Ovis aries: one gene and its partner. The protein of the gene in region 2 interacts with the protein of the main gene of each other region in a pairwise test. Links are inferred from orthologs where the notes say so. Each region holds a gene or a part of one and is shown on either strand. Other genes may lie near its edges.

Region 1 (3,958 bases), on a different chromosome or scaffold from region 2:
ACTATGTGGAGATACTGTGGTGAATAAGGCAGGCACAGTCTCTGCCTCTATGGGTCTTATGGACAAAAGCAAAACAAACAAACAAAAAAATAGAGAAGTGAATAAATGAGATCGCTTCTACCCAGTGCTATGAGAGAGGGGAGGCTTCCAGGAGGAAAGGTGGTCAGGAAGGCTGAGGATCCAGACCACAATGAGCCTATAGAGCTGGAGAGTGGGGGTGGGGGCAGGGAACAGACTAGTGGGGCCTTACAGGAAAATGTAAGGAATTTTTATGTCATAATTAAGACAGTAGGGGAAGATTCCCCTGAAGGAGGAAATGGCAACCCACTCCAGTATTTTACCTGAAAAATCCCAAGGACAGAGCAGCTTGGCCGGATACAGTCCATAGGGTGGCAAACACAATGAGCAACTGAGCACAAGCAGGAGTAAGGCAGTTAGGGATCCATTAAACGTCTTTACATAGGGGAATTAAGTTGTCTGATTTCTGTTTTTAAACGATCACTTTGGCAGCTGCTTTGTAATATAAACTGTCAAGCCTCAAGTCAGAAAATGACCACGCATTCTGCAAATTCAGTGTGAGCTCACTGCCAAAGCTCTTGGTTAAGAGTCTCATCTTGTTTCCCTGACAAGTAAACTGGTCATAATAAAGTTGTATGGCATAGCAAGTAGGAGGCAAAGGTGAGAGTCATGCCTTGGTTTCAAATCTTGTTTCCCACTCACCAGTTATGAGCACTCCGCAAGCTATTTACTTGTGCCTCAGTGATCTCAGCTGTGAAATGGGAATAACAAAAGTACTTACTATCTCAGCGTTGTTGTGAAAATGAAATTACATGTAAAGCACGGTGACAGTGCCTGGTACAAAGTAATTAACATTCATAAATATTCATAATACTTCTTTCAGAGAACTACTGTGACGATCACATGAGATAATGCATGTGAAAAGGCTTATGAAACCGTAAAGACTGTCTTAGTGGCAGAATTCTTTCTTTTCCTTGTCTTTCAAGCGGAACCCAGAAGGCTGCGATACCGGGGGAGGAAGGCGCGAGGCCAAGCGCAGCCTCAAAGCAGTCATTGTCGTTGGACAGCCCTTCCCCCGGCCCAGAGCACATCTCCATGGCAACGTGGGGCTTCGCCTCCCCCCCGCCTCCTGGGGCCCACAGACCGGAAGCAGTCCGCGCCGGGGGCTGCTGGGAAACGGCTCGTGAGCGGCGTTTCTGCGTCGGCCGAGGACAGCGAAGCGGCTGTGGTTCCCGAGCCCGAGGTTTGCGCGAGTTGGGGGGAAGGGTGTGAGAGACGCTGGCCTGGGGGCTGCAGACTGCTTGACAAGAGTCAGCGAAGAAGCCTGGCGGGAACCTTCCTCGGCTTCTCCCAGAGGCGTGGGGGACAGGCCGCGGTCTCCGTGCCCGGCACTTGTGGGACGGGCAAGGGAAGACGAAAAGCCAGATCGGGCTTTCAGCACCCTCGAAGAGTCCTCCATCCCTTGTGTCCTTCGCGACCCCCGACTTCCCCTCCCCCATCGGCCGGTTTTGTTCTATTTCGAGGCCCTGGCATCTCGCGGAGAATTCTGGGATTCTTCTCGGGCGGAGGTGGGAGTGGGCGGGCCTCGCGCGGGGCCTGCTGGGACTTGTAGTTCAGCTGGCCGCGGGCGGAAGTGCCGCGGCTCGTTTGCTGTTGTGGCCGGGTGGCATTCGGTCTGAGGAAAGCCGCCGCCGCGAGTGCAGGGAAAAGGGGCTGACGTCGTTGGGGTGGGGGCGCGGTTCGAAGCGGCACTCTGCAGGAGTGCGTGGGGAGGTCACTTGGGACCGGGCTCTCCGCCCAAAGACGGTCGGGACCGCGGACCTGCGCTCCCCGCAACTCCTCACATCCCACCGCCAGAGTGCTGTTTGAGAACGTAAAAGGAAGAGAAATGTCTTTTCTGTAGAGTGCTTGAGCCGTAGAAAGGTAGGGTCTTGGAATAGAAACAGATCTGTAGGCCAAAGCTACGTGTTTATAAGGCCGCCACACTCCAGAGTATTTAATTAAACTTGTGTGTATGTTACCTGATAAGATCTTTTCTGATTCCTAGTTTTGGTAGGGTTACAGGAAGTTTTTGGAAATTAGCTTTCGTATTCTGGGGCGTATATGGGTACATTGAGCAGCTGCGTGGCTCATTCTTAACGGGTGTTGTAGACAATGGCATGGGCATGACTGTGCAAATACCAAGGAAAGGATCAGAAATAGCACAAGGTTTCCATGAACGTAGTAGCTGGGGAGATTGTGAGTCATTCAGTGTCAGCGGAAGAATCTGCACCACAAAGGTGTTACGAGAGTTCTTTTTTCCCCCTAGAATTTGCTGATTAATGCCTGTCGTTCCTAATTTAAAGGTATTTATGGTGTGGAGGGTAACTGAAAAATAATTAAATTTTATGGCACATAGTGGTTCCTTTTTTCCAACATTATTATCTATTCCTGACCAAGTGAATTTTTTTAACGTGTATTTAAAGTCCTAGGAGTTCTTAAACATTTAAAAAATAACTGTTAAACGTTTTGTGAAAAAAAGTTTTTTTTAACAGATAGTAAAAAAGCAGTCCCTGCTTTTGAGATGACCTAAGTGTGTCAAGGAACACCAGTATTGAATTGTAGATAATGTGTTCAAGGGTCAGATGCATTTAGATAACACTGAGAAGGGCTGGTTCTTAACTTGGATTCTTTTGATTGTTGAAATAGGTTTTGTTCATAGGTTGGCAAACTTTATCTCTAGAGGACCAGGGTAAATATTAGGTTTCTCATGCCCTATAGTGCCTATTGCAACTACTCAACTCTGCTATTGTAGTGTGAACAAATGAGTAAAATTATTTATGGAGACAGACGATTTAATTTCATGTCATTTTCACATGTAATGGAGTGTTCTTTTGATTTTTTTCCAACCATGTACAAGTGTGAAAACTATTCTTAGTATACGCATTGTACAAAAATGGGCAGCTGGCCAGATTTGGTCATGAGCTGTAGTTTGCAAACTTCTAGTTCAGGTTATTGATTGGCATTTTTAATCTAGTAAAAGAACACATTTTTATTTCCTTTAATCAGTCTGTGTCCAGGTTCTTAGAATATTTAGTCATTTATAAATTTTTCATTTCTTGTGCCTCAGGAGTGCCTGTGAAGAAAACTGGGTATTTCCCTAAGGTATCTTGCCTTGATTGTCTTTCCTTGAAGTATCACAAATCAGGATGTCTGCACAGTCAGTGGAAGAGGATTCAATACTTATCATCCCAACTCCAGATGAAGAGGAAAAAATTCTAAGAGTGAAGTTGGAGGAGGATCCTGATGGTGAAGAGGGGTCGAGTATCCCCTGGAACCATCTTCCTGACCCGGAGGTTTTCCGCCAGAGGTTCAGGCAGTTTGGATACCAGGATTCACCTGGGCCCCGGGAAGCTGTGAGCCAGCTTCGAGAACTTTGCCGTCTGTGGCTCAGGCCAGAGACACACACAAAAGAACAAATCTTGGAGCTGGTTGTACTGGAGCAGTTTGTTGCCATCCTCCCCAAGGAGCTACAGACTTGGGTTCGAGAGCATCATCCAGAGAATGGAGAGGAGGCAGTGACGGTCCTGGAGGATTTAGAGAGTGAACTAGATGACCCTGGACAGCCAGTAAGTTTCCTGTTAGGAGTACTGGCGTAGCAGTATTCACAGCTTCTGAATTAGTTCCACTCAACTAAGTTAGAATTATGTTTATGCTTCCCCTCCCCCCCCTTCATTATTTATGCTGCTTTGCCCTCTAGGCCTCTGCAGCATATGTTTTGTATGATTTCTTTGGTGTGTGTTTTAGTTTTGATTCTCATCAAATTCCTTCTCAACTGAACCAATTCCTATCATTTCCAGGTTTCTCTTCGTCGACGAAAACGGGAAGTGTTAGTGGAGGAGATAGTATCTCAAGAAGAAGCTCAGGGATTACCGAGTTCTGAGCTTGATGCTGTGGAAAA
Region 2 (4,310 bases):
CACTCACTGCAACTAGAGAAAGCCTTGCACACAGCAATGAAGACCCATCCACAGCCAAAAATTAAAACCAAAACAAACAGAAAACCCCCAAAACTTTTCATGTCTCCTTGTCCATAACTATATCGTGCTCAGTAGCATCTGACTTTTTGCAACCCTATGGACTGGTAGATCACCAGGCTTCTCTGTCCATAGGATTTTCCAGGCAAGAATACTGGAGCGGGCTGCCATGTCCTCCCTCCAGAGGATCTTCCTGACCCAGGAATCAAACCCGTGTCTCTTGCATCTCCTGCACTGCAGGTGAATTCTTTACTGCCGAATCATCAGGGGAGCCCATAACTATATTAGTATTTCTAAAAAACACAAACAAAAACAAAAAAAAGTCAGTGACTTCCCTGACAGTCCAGCAGCCAAGACTCTTTGCAATAAATGCAGGGGTCCTGAGTTCAATCCCTGGTCAGACAACTAGATCCCACATGCCACATCTAGAAGATCCAGCATGTCACAACTAAGACCCAGCAGAGCCAAATGAATTTATTTAAATAAATATTATTTTAAAAAAAAAACAAACAGAGGTCACTGCAACCGCTGTAAAGGCAATTCTGGTCATTGGATAGGGAGAACAGTCACCCAGTCACAGGAAAATGAGAAAAATGACACAAGTAAGCAAAAATTAGTCTTTCAAAAAACAGGACATTGAAAGGAAAAAGAAATATAGGACCTAAGCTAGGAGAGGGTAGCATAGAGGACAGGTATGTTATGTACCATCTTTATGCCAATGATTTCCTTATTTTTCTGCCCAGACCTCTGAAAGATTTTTCTTCTGGCTATCTGGTTCCTGGGCACCTTACAAAAGCCTATCAAATGCAACATGTCAAAATGAACTAAGAGAGTCTTCCTGGTGGCTCAGTGGTTAAGAATCCACCTGCCAATGCACGAGACATGGATTCAATCCCTGGTCTGGGAAGATCCCACACGCCTCAGAGCAACTAAGCCTGTGTCCCACAACTGTCCCAAGCCTATGCTCTGGGGCCCAGGAATGGCAACTACTGAGCCCAAAAGCTGCACTACTGAAGCCCATATGCCTTTGAGCCTGTGCTCCATAACAAGAGAAACCACCTCAATGAGAAGCCCATACACTGCAATGAAGGGAACCCCCCATGCCCAGCAGTGAAGACCCAGCACAACCTTAAAAAAAACCACACAACAAAACTCAGAGAATTATACCATCAATCTTTTGAACAGGCTCTTGGTATGTGGGGACTCTTGATTCTGATGACTCTTGAGTGACTCTAGAGATAAGTGAAATAGTATCTGCCAATTGTTGGCACACACTTCTGAATCAGTATAGTATAAGGCTCACTCACTTAGTGGCTGTGCCCAGTTAGGTTCCAAATTTAGTTCGCTGTTACATAGTATCACTCCCAGCTGATACTTATTTGTCAAAACAGGATTTACAATCTAAAACGCCAATCCTGCTGCAGCTGACCCTTAAACAACAGGAGAGTGAACTACATGGGTCCACTTATACATGGATTTCTTTTTTTTCAAATAGGCCAAATCTGCTATGTGGCCCTGTGAGTAGAGAGAGCTGACTGTAAAGTTATACTTGGATTTCCGACTTCACCATGGGCCGCTAACCAGTATTGTTCAAGAGTCAGCTATATTCTTAAAAAAAGTGAAAAGATGTCCATGAAAGTAATGATTGTTAGCCAGAAAATAGTTAGGTATTATGATGGTGAATTTTCTTTGACAACTTGACTGCACCACCGGGTACCCAGATATTTGGCCAAACATTACAGTGGGTGTTTCTGTGAGGGTGTTTTCGGATGAGATTAACATTTAAATAAGTGGACTGAGTAGAGCAGATGGCTTTTATTAATGTGAGTGGACTTCATCCAATCGGGTGAAAGCCAGAATAGAACAAAAAGGCTGACTTTCCCCAGTAAGAGAAGTCACCTGCCTGACAGCCTAAAAGCTGAGAAACCAGCGTTTTTCCTGTCTCCAGTCACCCGATTCCACTCTTGCCTTCCAGTCTGGTCTCATCTTGAGTTCCCGGCTGTAGACGCTTAAAAACCTGTCAGATGTTTTTCCTTTGCTCAAAACCTTCCTAATACTCTTTCCACATCAAGAAATCAACAAGTTCCTTACACAACACCCACTTTTTCTACAGGCCTCCTCCCACCCCCATCTCTCTGACAGCATTTTCTACACACCTTCCCCTTGTTCACTGTGCTCCAACCACTCTGGGCTCCCAGCTACTCGTCGAGTATGATAAGCGAGCTCCTGCTTTAGCGCCTTTGCATTTGCTGTTGCCCCTTACTAGAAAATTCGTGTCTGCAAAGGCCACGTAGGTTTTTTAAACCTCCCTCAGGCTTTTGCTCAAAGTCACCTTCTAAGGCTTAACTTATACATATTTAAAATTGAGCTCAATGGATAAATATATATATATATATATATATATATATATATATATACACACACACACACACACACACACACACGCAGAAGATTGTGCCTCTATAAACAAGAACCACAGCATCATTCCTCTCCTAGGCCCCAAGATTGACATCTCCTGTCCTCGCCCGCTCAGAGTCCACACGTCTCCTCCATTGGGTAAGGCTTCTCCGCACCCGCAAGGAATCAGCTGCTCCCCGGCCCACGGGCCGCAGTTACTCCCCAAACTGGAGCGCAATCACCACTCACCCCTCCAAGGACCCACGGGAAAAGCCAAAAGCTTTCAAGCAGCTTGTTAGCTCTTTACTGAGCGGCCGCTCTCGCTCCGCGGCGCTTTTGACCGTCGCTCTAGGAATGCTGGAGGACTGCGGCTCGATGGCTCTCCTACGAGGCGGCCAAATTCAGGCTAGTAGTTGGTTGAGCGGTCTCGGAGTCCAGAGGCTGGGAGGGGTGCCCCAAAGCTGGGAGGGGCGTCCAGGTGTGTTTTTAGGTTTCTTAAGTTTATAACCCGAAATTTATTTCATATATGTAGATGACACGCAAATTCGTGAAAGCTGGCGTGTTTTGGGGCTTTCCAGGTTCCCTCAGTTCAGTTCAGTCGCTTAGTCCTGTCCAACTCTTTGCGACCCCATGGACTACCAACCTTAGCGGTAATCACCCTGCTAATGCAGGAGACTTTAGAGACACAAGTTTGATCCTTAGGTTGGGAAGATCCTCTGGAGTAGGAAATGGCAACCCACTCCAGTATTCTTGCCTGGGAAATCCCATGGAGAGAGGAACCTGGTGGGCCTTAGTCCATGGGGTTGCCAAGAGTTGGACGTGACTGAGCACACATACACAGGCACGGAAACAGGTCAGCTCACTTTAGTGTTATCACAGCCGGTATTCCACTTTGCTCACTCACATAATTAAGACATGGACACATATTTTACCATTCTCCCCAATTAAAAAAGTTATCAAATACAGTGGCAAAAATAAATGTAAAAGTGTTTTTAAGTTGAACATGTATATATGTACATATGCAAATATACAATGAATGTATATGTATGTATGAATGAATGTAACAAAAAATTAAGGCATGTTACCAAATGCAAGGTTGTGTGCTGGATGCAGTAGGCCAAAGAAACCAAATGTGGGCGTTTTAAAGCAGAGAGGTTTATTGCAGGACCAACCAAGGCAAACTCTTCTTGGTGTGTCCTCAAAACTACCCCAACTCCTCAAAGGGTTTCACCAAAGCATTTTCTAAAAGTCAGGTGAGGGAGGCGGGGTTGTCAGGAACGTGATCAGCTCTTGCACAGTTCTCTGACTGGTTGGTGTTGAGGTAACAGCGGTTAACATTACTACTACTTAGTGAAGTATTAGTTGTTCAGTTGTGTCTGAGTCTTTGCAACCCTATGGACTGTAGGCTGCCAGGCTCCTCTGTCCATGAAATTTTCCAGGCAAGAATAACTGGAGTGGGTAGCCATACCCTTCTCCAGGGAATCTACCCGATCCAGGGATCCAAACCTGGCCTCCTGCATTGCAGGCAGATTCTTTACCCAGGCAAATAAGGCAGTCTGAGTCACCTTATTGGTACTTTGGGCCTGGAGGTCTAGAGGCATGATCATCAAGTATTTCATTTCTTCCATTTGGTGGTAATGTTAGCATCTGTAAAACAACTCAGGAGAGTGCATCAGATATTATTATCTATGTACATCAGAGAGGAGCTACAGCAGAGGATAGAAGGGAGGTGTTTGTACCAGGAAGATCCCATAGGGTCCTCCTCAATTACAGTCTATTACTAAGGGAGAGAATAATCAAGCATTATTTTCTGCAAAGTATGCGAAGGGTAGGGGTGGGGGTAGGGTGGTGTCACG

Evidence for each region. The genes of interacting proteins can lie anywhere in the genome.
Region 1: the proteins of PGBD1 (region 2) and ZNF24 interact in binary tests that used the Homo sapiens proteins (3 or more experiments, as listed by UniProt). The two-hybrid records come from large-scale screens. The link is inferred for Ovis aries from reciprocal best matches to the Homo sapiens genes PGBD1 and ZNF24.

Annotation. Positions count from the first base shown.
Region 1 is NC_056076.1:22,076,611-22,080,568, forward strand, and holds the start of ZNF24 (zinc finger protein 24), read left to right. Parts: upstream 1-1,158; 5' UTR 1,159-1,941; intron 1,942-3,127; 5' UTR 3,128-3,206; coding exon 3,207-3,626; intron 3,627-3,857; coding exon 3,858-3,958. UniProt on the Homo sapiens protein: Transcription factor required for myelination of differentiated oligodendrocytes. Required for the conversion of oligodendrocytes from the premyelinating to the myelinating state.
Region 2 is NC_056073.1:29,476,310-29,480,619, forward strand, and holds the start of PGBD1 (piggyBac transposable element-derived protein 1), read right to left. Parts: upstream 2,803-4,310; 5' UTR 2,704-2,802; intron 351-2,703; exon of another isoform or gene 1-350.